Linked DNA regions of Caenorhabditis elegans. The protein of the gene in region 4 interacts with the protein of the main gene of each other region in a pairwise test. Each region holds a gene or a part of one and is shown on either strand. Other genes may lie near its edges. The genes, in order: cids-1, zfp-1, atf-4 and zip-11.

The links.
Region 1: the proteins of zip-11 (region 4) and cids-1 interact in a two-hybrid assay, tested with the Caenorhabditis elegans proteins (one large-scale study listed by BioGRID).
Region 2: the proteins of zip-11 (region 4) and zfp-1 interact in a two-hybrid assay, tested with the Caenorhabditis elegans proteins (one large-scale study listed by BioGRID).
Region 3: the proteins of zip-11 (region 4) and atf-4 interact in a two-hybrid assay, tested with the Caenorhabditis elegans proteins (one large-scale study listed by BioGRID).

The regions. Positions count from the first base shown.
Region 1 is NC_003281.10:8,242,590-8,246,341, forward strand, and holds cids-1 (CID domain-containing protein 1), read left to right. Parts: upstream 1-1,855; coding exon 1,856-1,993; intron 1,994-2,036; coding exon 2,037-2,170; intron 2,171-2,212; coding exon 2,213-2,396; intron 2,397-2,443; coding exon 2,444-2,688; intron 2,689-2,740; coding exon 2,741-2,888; intron 2,889-2,936; coding exon 2,937-3,035; 3' UTR 3,036-3,205; downstream 3,206-3,752. Other genes in the region: Putative zinc finger protein C02F5.12, read right to left, coding at 197-280; pbs-6 (Proteasome subunit beta type-1), read right to left, coding at 634-750, 799-1,192, 1,238-1,503; putative GTP-binding protein C02F5.3, read left to right, coding at 3,302-3,752.
Region 2 is NC_003281.10:8,796,436-8,801,419, forward strand, and holds the start of zfp-1 (Zinc finger protein zfp-1), read left to right. Parts: upstream 1-1,962; 5' UTR 1,963-2,029; intron 2,030-2,097; 5' UTR 2,098-2,119; coding exon 2,120-2,228; intron 2,229-2,423; coding exon 2,424-2,679; intron 2,680-2,959; coding exon 2,960-3,050; intron 3,051-3,097; exon of another isoform or gene 3,098-3,099; coding exon 3,100-3,210; intron 3,211-4,050; coding exon of another isoform or gene 4,051-4,266; intron 4,267-4,984. Other genes in the region: F54F2.6 (uncharacterized protein), read right to left, coding at 4,051-4,266. UniProt on the Caenorhabditis elegans protein: Recruits the histone methyltransferase dot-1.1 to chromatin to methylate 'Lys-79' of histone H3 and activate transcription. Recognizes and binds histone H3 methylated at 'Lys-4' (H3K4me) at the promoters of target genes.
Region 3 is NC_003284.9:14,808,593-14,812,372, reverse strand, and holds atf-4 (Transcription factor atf-4 homolog), read left to right. Parts: upstream 1-1,709; 5' UTR 1,710-1,767; coding exon of another isoform or gene 1,768-1,791; 5' UTR 1,792-1,831; coding exon 1,832-2,104; intron 2,105-2,628; coding exon 2,629-2,904; intron 2,905-2,948; coding exon 2,949-3,026; 3' UTR 3,027-3,217; downstream 3,218-3,780. Other genes in the region: T04C10.3 (Coiled-coil domain-containing protein 96), read right to left, coding at 1-12; T04C10.11 (uncharacterized protein), read left to right, coding at 1,569-1,709, 1,768-1,791. UniProt on the Caenorhabditis elegans protein: Transcription factor.
Region 4 is NC_003282.8:3,309,624-3,313,702, reverse strand, and holds zip-11 (Transcription factor zip-11), read right to left. Parts: upstream 2,428-4,079; 5' UTR 2,136-2,427; coding exon 2,095-2,135; intron 1,539-2,094; coding exon 1,378-1,538; intron 1,312-1,377; coding exon 1,039-1,311; intron 990-1,038; coding exon 778-989; 3' UTR 514-777; downstream 1-513.

The DNA.
Region 1 (3,752 bases), on a different chromosome or scaffold from region 4:
GAGTTGTTTCCTACAGTAATATCATTCCAAAATTACAATTTTATAAAATACAGTATTTATGATTTTTGATCGACCATTACATAAAGAATAACCTGTCATATTATTTTTATTGCCAAAATAATTATTACTCAAGTTTTTCTAATCTCGGGAATATTTATATAATTAGAAGCTAAATGTTGCCAAAAGCTTGACCTACCAAAATAGATTGCAAATCGAGTCCTCGCATTTTGAGAACTTCCAAAGTTTGATTGTAGATGTTAACTTGAATATAAGTTGACATTTTTCAGTAAATACCAACTTGTCGAGTTGCAAAGCAGGAATGAATCAATGACACAGCTGGGCAGACCACAAAGTAAGAGACTCGAAACGCAGACGGTTCTAAGCAGCGCCGACTCACTCCTTCTTTTGCATTATATCTTGTGTCTCACTCGTGCGTTCTTGCCCTGTGTGTTTTCGCTCTCTGCATTTTTCTCTCTATTTTGTAGTTTGCGTTGGACGCCGAAATGTAGTCATGTTGTAGACTACAACATATAAGTGGAGGAATATTTATCAGATTACCGGGATGGTAAAACAATTTCAGAGGGGAAGAGGATACGAATAAGTTAAAATAAAATGAGATAGATACTGCAATAATTAATCCTCACGAAGTGGCAGGAACTTTACGACGACTGGCTTTCCGGCTTCAGCGATGACCAAGTGAATTTTGTCTCCAGTAGAGATTTCACGCTCAGCAGCACCACGGAACGAATCCTAGAAAAAATAAATGAATTAGGTTAAAATTACGAAATTCAATTATACCTTCATCAATGAGATGGCTCTGTCCAATGTGAGTTCCGGACGCTCATATCCTTCAGAGAGCGTAACGTGCCCGATTTGACAATCCAAGAATGGAATGATCATTGGTTCAGCGGCTCCACTGGCTGAGTATCCAAGACGCTCGATACATCCGATTGGGTCGTAACTGAACACGGCCCCTTTTCCGTGCTCGTCAATTCCGGCAAGAATAGCTCCAGTGTAGTATGGGAAGAACCGACGGTAATAGAGGTTGCGGGAGAGAAGTTCTGCGCAAAGATCCACAGACATGTCAGAGCGATAATCGAAGCGGTACTTGTGGAGACGAGATTGGAGAACTTTCTTCAATTGGAGGACATCTCCATAGAATCCAGAGGTGGTGAGGATGATGTTATCATTCCTGAATTAAGAATTATTATTAAAACAAAGACAAATACTGGCTTACAAAATTTGAATCTTCTCTGCGTCACGTGTAAGAATGTTGATGTCGTTTTGGGTCATTCTAGTATCACTTGCCACGATGGCAAAGTTCTCCCCAGAAATGGCACAGGTTGATCCTCCCTCCATTGAATACGGGTTCCAGCGTTGACGCTCAATTTGTCTGGAACTCATCCACTCTGGATGAGCTGCAACTTCCTTCATTGCCTGCTTGAACATTGCCATTTCATTGGTGGCGTTGGCGACAGCCGTGATTCCAGTGAAGCTTGTCATCTGAAAAAGGCGTATACTTATTTAGTTGAAACAATATAAATATTCAATATGACAAAATTCAATTAATACAGAAAACAAATGCTCGAAATTTGAGAATTCAACATAACAGGAAATGCTGACAATGAGAGACATCGTCATTTACAATGTTTAGTCCGCAGTTTTCTGCGCGTTCAAATGCACATCGCACATCGAACTATACGACACTTTGCTGAAATTTATTGAAACGCGTTTTCCTCTCTTTTTTGAATGAAAATTCATTTTTCCAAGGTATTTTTGAGGACAATTCATCGCTTTATCTACATTTCTGATTAAAATTTTTGTGATTTCTTTTTTTCAATAATTGATATTTCAGATGGCAGATTTCACAGAGCAAACTTTGCGACAGAAGTTAACAAATTTATCAAACCACCCTTCCTCAATTCAGACGACTTCTGCCTGGCTTTTGCAAAATCATAGCAATCGGGAATTGATCATTCGAGTTTGGCTAAAGGTATTTTATTCATATTGTATCATTTTTTAGTGTTGTATTTCAGACAGTAAAGAAAGAAACACACGGCTCAAAAATTGTAAATCTTCTTTATGTGGCGAATGATGTAAGCCAAAATGCGAGAAAGACTTGCCCACAATTCAAGGACGAATTTTTTCCCGCAATAGAAAGTTCTTTCAGGTATTGGCATTTTCAAACGTCTAATCTCAAAATTAATTTCAGGCATGCAATCGAGTTGAAAAATGCAAAAGAAGTGGAACATGCAATTGGTAAACTGATCAATGTATGGAAAGATCGTCAGATATTCACTCCATCACAATGCAAACGGCTTCATGAAGTTCATCAACAAGTTAAGCTATCTGGAAGCTTCCCAACACCCGCAGTTGCGAACAAGGAACATGGAAAGGTGTGTGAATTTAATAAATTCCAAAAGAATGCCAAAATGAGCTTAAGGTCGCTCAACCTAGTCAGTTCGTCGTTGAAGAAGCGAAAAAGAATGCACAAGATGTTTTGCTCAGTTTGAAGCGCCTTCAAAACCCGCCGAGCACGGAAAGAGAAATTCGCACAGAACTTTCAAAATATCCGGATAATATTTCGTGCCCAGAAAAGTTGCAGTCAGTTCGAAGTTCGCAAGAAGCACAGTCTCTGTTGGTCCAAAATGAAGAAGCTCTTCCGATGCTGGAGGAATATGTTAAAAGGTTTGATTGAAACTTTTGTGAATTGATTTTGTACATTAACTTATGCTTTCAGGCTGAAAAACGAGACAAATGAACGCGAAACTCTCGAATCGAACTTGAATATGCTTATAGAAAATGTTAGAATGAGCATTGAACATCACGAGAAATTGTGCAGAGAAGTTAAGCGTAGAGAAGATCGAATCAAGGCAGATTTGTTAGAGGTTTGAAAACTAGAAAATCAGTTTTTGCAGACTTGAATTGAATTTCAGGTTGAAAAAACATTCGAATCGTTGCCAGATTTGGCTGCTGAGATGCCAAATGCACCATTGCCAACACTTGAAGCTTTGTTCGAGAAGAGGAAAAAATAAGTATCATACTACGTCATAATTATAACTTTACGATCTCAGTAGCTTTTACTGTACCCCCATTGTTGTATAATTTTTGTTCACTTTGATCTTTTACAATCGTGATCACCATTACCACATAAGTGCTTTATACGTTTTTCTTCTGAACCACCTTAAATGAATTTATTTTTTCTAAAATTCAAGTTAGTTCTATTATCTGAAAACGGTTCTTAACCAGTGTTTATCTCTGAAAGTTTGAAATTAATTGTTTAAAAGCTGATATTTTACAGATGGGTATTCTGGAGAAAATTGCAGAAATCGAACATGAAATTTCAAGAACCCAAAAGAATAAAGCCACTGAATACCATTTGGGTCTTCTAAAAGCAAAGTTGGCAAAATATCGTCAACAATTGTTAGAACCAACAGGCAAAGGAGGTGCCAAAGGAGAAGGATTCGATGTAATGAAAAGTGGAGATGCGAGAGTTGCAATGGTTGGATTTCCTTCCGTCGGAAAATCGACTCTATTGTCCTCAATGACTTCCACTCACTCAGAAGCTGCTGGATATGAATTCACAACTCTTACGTGCATTCCTGGTGTCATCTCTTACAACGGAGCCAATATTCAATTGCTCGATCTTCCTGGAATCATTGAAGGAGCTTCTCAGGGAAAAGGAAGAGGAAGACAGGTTATCTCAGTTGCAAAAACTGCAGATTTAATTCTTATGATGCTTGATGCAGGAA
Region 2 (4,984 bases), on a different chromosome or scaffold from region 4:
GACACTTATTGTCATTATGAACACCTTTTAGATATCTTCAGTGAGGAAATTGTCGGAAAATTAATATAATTTCTATGGTTTTTCATTATTAATTTTTATAGTCAAATTTAGAAAACAAATCCTCGATAAAATTTATTTATTTATTTTTGATTCATCAAAAAAGAATTTTTAGCCTTGAAAAATGTTTAAAAACCAGTGAAGTTCTATTAATAAATTCTCTTGCTTCTTAAATTTTTTTTTTTAATTTTAAAAACTTTTTGTTAAAGATGTTAATTTTCTGTAGAAATTTTTATTTCACACAATAACCATTAGTTAAATTAAATTTATAACTGTTCCCCAAGTGGTTTTAAAAAATCAATAAAATGATTTCTTGACTATCGTAATCCTTCGTGACCCCTCTGTAGAGATTTTCTTGTGTTATGCAAGTACCCCATCGTAAATTTTCTTTTCTCGATACCCGAAGTATATCCGATCACATCTGTGTCTATGATGATACTGATTACTTTTCCATTTATATTTATCACCTTGACCGTTAATTTTCAATATTTAATTTTTCAATGACAATACAATGTTAATTTTTATAAGGTTATGTGGTAGAAAATGTTAGGCGAGGTTTAGAGAAAAATATAAAAGTTTATTAACTTTATTTCGCCCTTGGACGATTTTTTAAGCATCCAAATGACTCTTTTCATTTAAATTTTTATATTTTCCGATCCGTATATTATTTTCTTTTCAACTAATTTTATTAAAACATACGGCTATATGAAATAAAGCACTGGAACGCAGAAAGTTAGAGAGAAAAGGAGCAAAGCTTCCCCTTCTTGTTTGTATGTATGTGCTCCTTGTGTGCATGTGACATAGAAGAGCCGACGTCGCTGCGCCCCTGTGAGAATTCATGCATGCTTGGCACGATGCCAAGTTGTATGTGTCTATCTTCACCTCCTTTTTCTTCTTCTTCTCGATTGCTTCTCCCTCTCTTCCAAACGAGAACGTGATGTCGGTCTCTCCTACTGTAGGCTACTAGTTGTCTGTGTCTAATACTCTCTCATTGTCAAAGACTTCAAATCGGGAAGATTGTGATGGTGGTTTGGTGACGAGAGAGAGATAGAGAGAGAGAGAGAAAGACACTGACGATGTCGTCGTTATCAGTGTATTTCTTCTTCTTCCTTTTCTTCCATACACAATCTGTAATTCTCTGTCGTTCTCTCAATTTGATTATCACTATTAAATGTATATTCATTCATTCACGCCCATAACTTTTTTGACTTGACTGAATCGAAAATCGAATCGATGGCCGCTCCCCGATAATAAGAAGGAGAGAGAAAAGAGAGACGCTGCAAAAATTTTTTGTCTTTGAATGACCTCTATTCGTCGTATTGATTGACTGCTGCCGTTTGTCTTTTGTGACGAAATTTTGTACAGTTCCATTTTCTTTTATTTCAAAAATTGAGAGAAAAATATCTAATGCTCGGCGTTAAATTTTCAATGAAAAATTTGTTCACTCAAATTGGCCCGAAAAGTCCGAAATTCATAACGAAACTTTTCAATAATTCCTCAAACTTTTTTATAGCAGTTTTACCTAAAATTCTAAATTTTGAAGAATTAGCCTTTATGCAAAATTTTGAATGGCCATAAAAGATTTTTCAATGAATTTCTGAAGAGTTTCGTAATTTGATATTTGATATTTTCAAATGGATTTTTAGTGTATTTTATAAAGCAAAACATTCTTCAATTTATTTTGTTTTCCGAATCTAATATTTAAATATCTCTATGAAACTTTAATACTATTTTTGATACGCATTCAATTATAGATAATTGTTAAACGTTCTTTTTTCTCCGAAATTAGGTTATTTCTATTTGTTCTGTTTCTTTATTTGTCGCTCGGCCATAATAAATCAATAATTTACGGCAATATACCTCTAATCTCCCCTTTTCTGCGTAATTTTTACCGAATTTTTACAGCACATCACCATACAAATGAGCCACGCCTGACCTCTTGACCAGCTACAGTAACCCAAAAAAAATTATCGTAAGTTTTTTCGAATTTTTGTGGAAAATTTGTGAATTGTATTCTCAAATGGATAATTATTTTTACAGAGTCCCCCGAAATTGCTGAAAAATGAAGGAGATGGTAGGTGGATGCTGCGTTTGTGCAGATGAGAATGGTTGGACAGACAATCCATTGATCTATTGTGATGGAGAGAATTGTGAAGTTGCAGTACATCAGGGTGAGTAGAAGTTCACAGAAATTGAAAAATTTTAGTATTTTTCCCGATATTTCGAAAAAAAATCCAACGTTTCCAAGCATTGTTTGAAGTTTTGCTTTTTTCCATCTTATTAGATGAATTTGATTTTTTTTTTTCGATTTTCTCTCAAAAAACCAAATTTTCCGATTAGGCCCCACCGAATTTTTATCATTTCAGGATGTTATGGAATTCAAGAAGTACCCGAAGGCGAATGGTTTTGTGCAAAATGTACGAAAGCATCAGCTATGATGCCCGGCAGTATAAATGAGGCAACATTTTGTTGTCAATTGTGTCCGTTTGACTATGGAGCATTGAAAAAAACTGATCGAAACGGATGGGCTCATGTAATTTGTGCACTTTACATTCCAGAAGTGCGATTTGGGAACGTACATAGTATGGAACCAGTCATATTAAATGATGTACCAACTGATAAGTAAGTTTTTCTCAAGAATATGGGTAATTCAATATGAAAAATGTGTCTGATCAAGGGTGAATATTTTTTGAGTTTTCGACTTTCGATTTTTTGACTCTCTGGAAAATCTCAAATTTTAAAAATTTCCGGTACATTTCTGAACCGAAATTTTTTTTCCAGTTTTTCGATTTTTCGACTTTCAAAAAAAAAACAACAACAAAAAATCTAAACATTTTAAACTCTTTCTTTGAAAAAATCTTGAAGTTTTATTACTATCTCGATCAATTTATATATTTTATAGATTCAATAAACTGTGCTACATCTGCAATGAAGAACGTCCAAATGATGCGAAAAAAGGTGCATGTATGTCGTGTAACAAGTCGACGTGCAAGGTATTTTTATTTTTCTTTAAATTTCTTGTAATTTAAACGAAATTTTCAGAGGAGCTTTCACGTAACCTGTGCTCAGCGGAAAGGACTTTTATGTGAAGAAGGGGCAATAAGTCGGAATGTCAAGTATTGTGGTTATTGTGAAAATCATTTGAAGAAAGCGGTATGTTTATTGAAGATTTATGCGCTAAAAATTGAGAAAAAAGTATTAAAATCGATTTCTTAATATTTTAAGAAAATCAGGCCAGATTATCACTTGGTTTTTCATAGAAGTGAAAATAAAAATAGAACTACAGTACCCATCAATTTCAAATATTTAATCCCTAGTCATACTGGTGCTGTGAAGGTCCGATGCTTGATAGACCAGGTGGATAGACACCTGTCTCTTGAAAAACTAGAGATTGTACGGAGTATTAGAGATTCAGAGAAGTAAAAATATGAATACAATCGTGTGTGCCCGCTTCTTCTCTGCATCTCTTCTCAGGATACTCTATTTCTGAGTCACAGCATTGGGACCCTGGAATAGCAACACAGCCATTGCGCTTCACTCTTAGAGTGAAAGAGATAGAGATGGAGAAAGAGACGTCCTCCGTCCTGTTTTCATATCTGCGTCTAAAATCTCTTTATCCTGAGAAAAAGAAACCGAAAGAGAGGTTGAGAGAGAGAGGGAGACATTGTCGAAGGAGGTCCGCGTGCTTCCACATACACATACACACACCATCCATTCAACACAACACACTTGAGAAGATGGAATAGACGAGAGAAGAGAGTACAGACGTTTAGACGAAATGAAATGGGTTGGGCCAACGGCTGGCTGGATGGATGGCTGACTGAGTGTGACAACGACAAATAGTGCTCGGGGGGGGGGGGGGCACTGAGAGAGATAGACGAAGAACTCGGAGAGACATAGACACAAAAAGGAACAAATTGCTGTCGGGCCAAGCGAGTTTGGAAGAGAAAGAGACGTGCATAGAGTGTCTCTCTCTCTCTCAATTTCATAAGCTTAGATGATTCTCTGCGTCTGCTCTTCGCCGCCCCTTCTGGACTTCTTTTTCTCGGGTGGCCCCCGGCGGCCGTTGTTTCGTCTGCGCTTCTTATTTTCCTCTTTATCGTCATCGTCGTATTCCTCGCTTTGTCCTGCTTTTTCGTTTTCTCCGTCCGTACGCACACATACATACACACGCACATAGTGAGGCAACATCATTCTCTTGTGCTTCATTTGGTTCTTCTTCGACGAATACTCGATAGATTTGAATATAGTCGTCGCCACGTCATACTCTACATTTTCCTGCTACATCATCCTTGCATCTCCCCACTTTCTCACTTGTTACGGTTTTTGCTTAACTCTCTACGTCTCTACTCACTCTCTCACCTACTTTCCTCTTCTCGTTGTGTTTGATGTCACCTTTCTCATCGTCTTCCGTCAATGGAGTTTTTTTGTCGCCAAAGAGAGACATTCACTCATTTTCTCTTCCGTCTCCCTGAAGTAGTTCTATGTTCTTTTTTTTTTTTTTCTAGACTTTGTCATTTAACATTTTTGTTTTACATTTTGGTACATTCACAGAATTATTTCTAAATCTAAATTAAACTTTTGATCTTGAAAGTAGGCCTATCATATAGGCCTCACCGCCTGCCTGCCTCACCTTAAGACGATCTTCGCCTGTTTCCAACTAAGTTGAATGTCTTGATTGTTCTCGGGGGTTGTCAAATTTTTGATGTTATTCTAATTCACCTAATTTAAATTAAACGGTAACAAATATCATAAAACCCTTTAGTTTTTTTTGAAAAAGTCTAATAATCTTTATTAGTTCTTTTTACTAATGAGGACGCTGCAAATTTTTGTTTTTTTTTTCAAAATTCAGCACAAACTTTTCCAAAACACTGAGCAATGTTTTGTTCCGTCTCTTTTCAATATCTAAGTCTCCCTTTAGCTGGTC
Region 3 (3,780 bases), on a different chromosome or scaffold from region 4:
CAAGCACGGCATGATTTATAACGGAAGTTCAGTCGGGTGGAATGAAATTCTCAAGTTGAAATTTCTAACAAAAACGAGTTTGATCCAAATACGCAAAATTTTGTTGAATTTTGGAGTTTATTTAAGGTGATTGAAGAAGAAGACGCAGAGCCATACTGAAGACGTGGAGAAATCTGCAAACACTGCTCTTGACGACTCTTTGCATCTCAATGAACCTAATTCAAAAATTCAAAAAATCTCGGACAACTTTGACTGCACATTAAGGTGAATAACGTTTCGGACTAGAATTTTTAGTTGAAACATATTTCAGAAAAAGATCAAGCCTCGTGGAGAGCACCTATCGTTAACTGACGAAAGTTTTACCGTGAAGATGGAGGTGACACGTTATCTCTCCACTGCAGTAGAAACTATCAGTCCGAGAGATTTTTGGGTAAATTCTGTGACCAAATCATCATATCCACGCCTCTCCAAATTTGCTCGACGCTTTATCATCTGTCCAACTGGCTCAAGTGAAGCTGAGAAACTGTGTTCAACAGCCGACACGAGTCTTACTAAATACCGAAAAGCTTTGTCACCTGAGAATTTAAAATGCTCCTATTTTTGAGCAAAAATATTCGTCTAATGAATACTATTGATGAGCCAGAAGGCTACTTGGTTGACTGAAATTATTGATTTATTTTCTTTAATTTCTAACATGTTGTTTTGTTTAAACAGTTTTTTCTGATGTTTTTGTTGTCGGTTTTCAATAAACTGTTCATTTTTCAATAAAAATTAGTTGAAACAGAAAAATAACACAAATTTGAAGAAAAATATCCGAAATATCCAAATTGTCCGAAAAATATCCGATTCAAAAAAATTATTTTATTCGAAACAGCGAACTAAAGGATTAAAGGATTAAAAGACGATCCGTTCTTCAAGTGCTATGCTCTGCGGAACTGGGATTCAGGTAAACTGACTGGTGGTGATCTCACTGGGCTATAATTTAAGCCACATCCTAGCCTGGGACTGTGGCCGATAATCCTGTAGTGGATTGCTCCACTCTCCAATAGAGGCTGGTTAAACCTAGGGGGTCTTGAACTTCAACTCGTGATCTCCAGATTGTTAGCGGCGACCACTACCGACTGAGCTATCTGTCGCTAAAAATCTAAAATAACCGATATCCGAAATAGCGAATATCGGGAAATTTAGATAAGAAAGTTTAGAGAAGCCCTACCTTAATTATACCTAACTGTAAGAAAACACTCTGGGAGCTTTTTGAATTACTTACACATTTTATTAAAAATTAATCTGAAACTTTTTTCAATCCAAAGATCAGCTTAACGTCTTTGATATTTGAATTTCCTCCACTAATCCACATCGATTGATGACGTACGAGACCGCGAGAGATGCAGATAGCACGCGACAGCCCTGATAAACTAAGAGAAATAGTATAAGAAACGGGTGCGATCAGAGAACATACAAAAAATATCGAGCAAACGCCGGAGGTGGAAAAGATTGGGGGCAGCCAAACTACACCAAGCGCTAGTCGTCTCCCTTTCCTCTTCTGTCATTTCACAATCAACACATCACTGGACACATACAGCCACTTTCTCGCAGAAACATCTCATCTGAAAATTATGAACTTCAACATGAACTATAGCACCGAACCGTCTCAATACCAATCTTACGTCATCGCGAACGCTCCTTCCGCCACAGCGCCAATTTGTACAGTAAGTTCATTTAACTTTTAATTGATTAATAATTAGTTTAAACAATGATCCTTTCCAGGAAATCACGTGCTGTGTTTGTTGAGCCTACGGGTCATGCATACGGACAAAATGATTACCAACAAATGGCTTATGTAAATGAACAAAATCCACAGTTCTTGCTTTATAATGGGATGCACAATCAAACCCATTCCACCCCACAATATCATAACCATCATCATCATCACCATCAATCTCCGACATATCCTCAATCATATTTCAACCCCTACTCCCATCAATCTTATCAACAGCATCATTTGAACTCCGATGTCAACTTCCAAATGGTTCCACAAAGCACTTCGGTTCCACCAGATCCGTTTTGCTCAATTGAGCCAATGGAGACTAATGTACAAGCAAAAGTGAGTTGATAGTTCAGAAATTGCGCTCAGGAAATTTCACAAAAACAATTGCACGAAAATTCTGACATGGAAACTGTCTGTCTACTTGATAACGGAGAACCAATCGGGTTGAGAGATCAAAAATGATCTGCGGGAAGACTATGTTAAGGAAATATAGTTAGGTTGAGAAGCAACGGTGGTTTCACGTGAAATTCATGTGATTCAAAGCTATAAGGAAGAGGAAATGTTGTGTATGCTTTTGGTGTCAACGAATGCAAATATTTTAGTAAATGAAACCGATACGTTGCTTCTGGTAAAGTAACATTGAATAATGAACATTTGACTTTGAAAGGGGTAAAATTCAAATAAAACAACCTCCTAGCTTTTTAACTTTAGGGGTTACAATTATCTGCTTTTGCAGAAGTTTTTGAGTTGCAATCCTCTGGAAGTCTTTTGAAATTTGACTGAAACTTTAAAAAAACAATTCGGTATATCCGGAATTTTACATCTAAACATATGAAAAACTCACAAAAATGTTATTTCAGGAACAAATTCTCGAAGAAATCGTGCGCGAGTGCGAAGAAATCGAGCGTCGTTCCAACTCGAGCGCGTCTCCAGCCTCAAATTGGTCTTCAGATGAACATGACTCTCAATCCGAAAAATCTTACCACCCATACAAAACCCCAGAAAAGAAGGAACGAAAGAAGGCTCAAAACCGTCTCGCAGCTACCAGATACCGTGAAAAGAAGCGTCGTGAAAAGGAAGAGGCTATGACTTGCATTGAAGGTCTTAGTGTCACCAATGGCAAGCTGAAGGATCAGGTTTGTAAATTATGAAGAATTTTGAGGATTAGCTTTTTTTCCAGGTATCCGAGTTGGAGCGTGAAATTCGTTACTTCAAAAAGTTCATGACCGAGATGGGAATGAAAACTGTCACCGACTAAACCTCAATTTTTAATGTTTTTTACTCCGTTTGAAAGTTCAACTCATTTTATTATTATTAATATTTTCTAAACTTCATCCTTCCCTTATATTGTACGAATTGTGGATTTTTTAAAATTTCATACGCCAATGGTATTATTCTGTTCGTTTGCATGATATTAACCTTACTCTTCAAATAAAAAAGTATCTGAAACCGATAGATCTATAACTTATCACCAACACTTATAGTTGGTTGTAGTCAAATTGTAGCTTCTTGTTTTGTCATCATTTTTCATTTATTTTGTCATCATGACTACTAGTGAACTTGAAGCGCACGTCATTATTCCAACACTGGCGACAAACTCATATTTTAGCTAAAAACAATTAGGAGTGAGTGGAAAAACAAAAGTATATCGGGGGGAATCGGACAAGTCAATTTGAAATTTGGTTAGTGAAACTTTTCGAGTGGATCAGACTCTTTTAGATAGGAAAGTGTTTAGAAAATTCAAAAATATTTATTTCATCCGAAAATGTACGCTTTTAAAAAATATTGGTTTCATCCAAAAATATACGTTTTTCAAAATTATTTATGCTCCGAAAATGTACCGCAACTAAATTGAAAAAAAAAAATTTTCCGCAGCGAAATTTTCCGCGACGATATTTTGCCACGACAAACTTTTTCCGCCTCAAAGTTTTCAGCATCGAAATTTTTCCGGAGCATCGAAATGGCGCGGAAACGGTAAGTCAAACTTCAATATATATAATAAAAATAAAAAA
Region 4 (4,079 bases):
GATTTTCAAAACTCTCGCTAATCTATTTTTTGAAATACCGCGCCTTTTCAATACGGTAAACAACGTAAACAACAAACCCCGCCCATTTTCGTGCAAACACACATTCCGAAAAGTTGTTATTGCACTAACACGGCCCGGCGAACCGTACGTGGCTGTAAAATCTCTACCGTAGTAAAATTTGGCTGACTGAATATTCAACGTTTGATACTCAGCGAAAAGTTTCGTACGACATTTTGCGGACGCGGCATTTTAATTGACGACACTTGTTTTAGTTCTAGAAACGCTGGTCATTTCGGCAATTTTCGGGCAGAAATTGTGAAAAATAAATTAATTTTTATCGAATTTACAAAAAATAATCATTTTAAAGAATTGTATGTTGCTGATATTGAAGAAAATCGATACTTTAAACAGTTTTTCGCAATGTTTCTCGATTTTGGCCAATTTTTTCAAGTTTTAGAGCCCTGAAGTTCCCTAAATCGTATAATCTCACATTTGATTATTGAAAAACGCGTGTTATTATTAAAAATTCGTTTATTAATATAAAAATAACAATGATAATACATAATGGAAATGCAACTGGTGCGCGCAGAGAACGCGTCTGGCGCTTGATACCAAATAACTAGCGAGCTGCGAGCGCGCGCCATGCGCATCACGTGTGTGCGCCAGGTAGCCAAATCTGCCGAGTTGCTTGATCTACTAATAATTTCCAGAGAATATCGTTGAACTGATATACAAGTATGTGGGGGAAAATGGCTGGAGACATAAATAATATAAGAATCATTTTTTGGCAAGTTTGGCGAGGAAGGCCTGTCTCATCTCGGCGACCTCCTTCTCGAGATGTCCGGCTTGAAGCTTGAGCCGCTGATTACGATCCTCCTCGGCTTCGAGCTGATCCAGAAGATCCTGCCATTTCGCCTTCTGCTTGTCACGATAACGGGCGGCCGCAACTTTGTTTTGCTGGCGTTTACGGGATAGAAGCTTGGTTTCATCTGGAAATTTTAATAATTAAATTTTAATTTTAATCCTGAATAAAACTACCATTCGACGAGCCTTCCTTCTTCAAATTATCGACAGTTTGCATTACAATATCGACGAGATCATTAATCGGAATCGCTTCTTGAGCACCATTCTCGTGCTCTACTTGACATTTCTCGCAGTCGCCGGCGCTATTCATAATATGATCGCATTCTTTCGAGATTTCCTCGAAAATCTTCGATTGCTCATGTGGAATCTCCTTTGTTGAGCAACGTTCGTGAACACAATCCACTTCGGCGCACCAGAATTGAGGGCTGAGATCGGTTTGGCCGAGATCTGGAAATTTATTGGTTTTTGAAAATTCAAGACAGATTTGGCAGAAAATTGTAAATAATCGATCACCTTGATAGGATGGTGGCACAGAATTGTAGTAGGACGTCTCGACTGGAAGATCCGATGGGCATGACAGCGTCTGATAGCATTCCGTGTGATGAACCGACGAGTGCGGGTAGTGATGGTGGTGGTAGTGGTCGTGGGGGTTCAGCTCGGCGTGCTCATGGTAGCTGAAATTATATTAATATATTTTTGCTTTTTACATTCGAAATAGCCCATTTTCCTGGAATTTAAACTCAAAAAACGGGTTTATAACGTTTTTTTTTAACGTTTTAAAAAAAATTAATTTTTTTTTAATTGATGGTGTTTGCGTACTTGCACGACAATTTACGAGAAAATGCGGACTTTTGTAGTTAAGTTTGGAATTTAAAATTCTGAAATTCCGCATAAGACCTGAAAAAATCGCAAAAATAAGAATAAAATATTATTTCAATGAAAAAAAAATTGATTTTTGTGAAAAATATCGATTTTCGGCTTCTAATATTATAAATTGTGAGAAATAGCCAATAATTAAAAGGGGTTTTCGAATATTTTTTAATTAAAACACTATTTTTTATGGAATATATTGCATTTTTAATATTTTATTCTCGCGAAAATCGATATTTGCATATTTATTTTATTAATTATTGAATAGAAAAATCTTTAAATTAAATTTTTCTCGGCTTTCCTAAAAATTTATCAATTCCAATTTCAATTTCCATTACAAATTTCCATTTTAAAACAAACCTATAATTGCAGTGATTATTCTCTGCATTCGGGGGCCACATTTTCGTCGAAAAATTGCCTTAAAAAAGCGAAGGCGCGTCGAACGACGAGACGCGAGTGGGTGAAAGAATGAAAGGCCTAGACAGCGAGCGCGGCCTATCGATTGTGACGGGCCTTAGCGCGGAGAGAGCGTGCCGGCGTGAGAGACGCAGAGATAGGTCGGTTAGGCAGTGCGGTGAGATAGCGCGCGGGGTGTGGAACCGCAGAGTGTGCGCCGTGATGTCCTCCGATTTTTGTTTCGAAAAATAGAAAAAAAAAGAAGAGAAAAGGTGAGAGAAAAGAAAACACAGCAGCAGCTTTTGAGGAGAAGAGTTCAGGTGATTGATGAGGATTCCACGTCATCGGAGAAGACGATTTTTTTCTGAAAAATTGAAGGCTTTCAAGGAAATCTGTCCATTTTTCGCTTCATCTTCTTTTTTATGTACGTGTTCTAAATTATTTGGCACTGAACATGGTTTTTCGGTTTTCGTATCTTTTGGCGCGAGTAGCGTCCACCGGTACTCGCCTTATCGCCTTATCAGTATACCAAAAGTTTTTCGTAGAATATGCAACATTTGGAAAAGGCGATAAGCTGCACTTAAATGCACTTTGTTCTCGAAAAGCCTCTCGGCAGACAGATAAGCCGACACTTTATTAGAAAGAAGGCGCATGCCGTAAAACGTAATGAAACGCCTTTGCACAGCGGCAGCAGGGCCTAAATGAAATGAAATGCCTAACTAAACGAAAAGATCAACCAGCAAGCAAAGGGAAAAGTGTAACGAAATTCGGAGGGGAAAAAGTTCAAGCATAACGATCATTGAGATTGTTGGGATTGATAGAGGGTCAATTTGTACTATTTGTTTATAAGTGCAACAAGAGATGCACCAGGGGTGGGCGGCAATTACCGTTCTACAAATTTATTTTCCGGCAAATCGGCAAAGTGCCGGTTTGCCGATTTGCCGGAAATTTTCAATTTCGGTAACTTGCCGATTTGCCGGAAATCTTCAATTTCGGTAACTTGCCGATTTCCCGGAAATTTTCAATTTCGGTAACTTGCCGATTTGCCGGAAATCTTCAATTTCGGTAACTTGCCGATTTGCCGGAAATCTTCAATTTCGGTAACTTGCCGATTTCCCGGAAATTTTCAATTTCGGTAACTTGCCGATTTCCCGGAAATTTTCAATTTCGGTAACTTGCCGATTTGCCGGTTATTTTCAATTCCGGCAGCTTGCCGATTAGCCTGAAGCTTTCAATTCCGGTAACTTGCCGATTTCCCGGAAATTTTCAATTCCGGCAACTTGCCGATTTGCCGGAAATTTTCAATTCCGGTAACTTGTCAATTTGCCGGAAATTTTCAATTCTGGTAACTTGCCGATTTGCCTGAAGTTTTCAATTCCTGTAACTTGCCGATTTGCCGGTAATTTTCAATTCCGGTAACTTGCCGATTTGCCGGAAATTTTCAATTTCGGTAACTTGCCGATTCGCCGGAAATTTTCAATTTCGGCAACTTGCCAATTCACCGGAAATTTTCAATTCCGGTAACTTGCCGATTCGCCGGAAATTTTCAATTCCGGTAACTTGCCGATTTGCCGGTAATTTTCAATTCCGGCAGCTTGCCAATTTGCCGGAAATTTTCAATTTCGGTAACTTGCCGATTTGCCGGAAATTTTCAATTCCGGCAACTTGCCGATTTGCCTGAAGCTTTCAATTTCTGTAACTTGCTGATTTGCCGGAAATTTTCAATTCCGGCAACTTGCCGATTTGCCTGAAGCTTTCAATTCCTGTAACTTGCCGATTTGCCTGAAGCTTTCAATTCCTGTAACTTGCCGATTTGCCTGAAGCTTTCAATTCCTGTAACTTGCCGATTTGCCGGTAATTTTCAATTCCGGTAACTTGCCGATTTGCCGGAAATTTTCAATTTCGGTAACTTGCCGATTTCCCGGAAATTTCAATTCCGGCAACTTGCC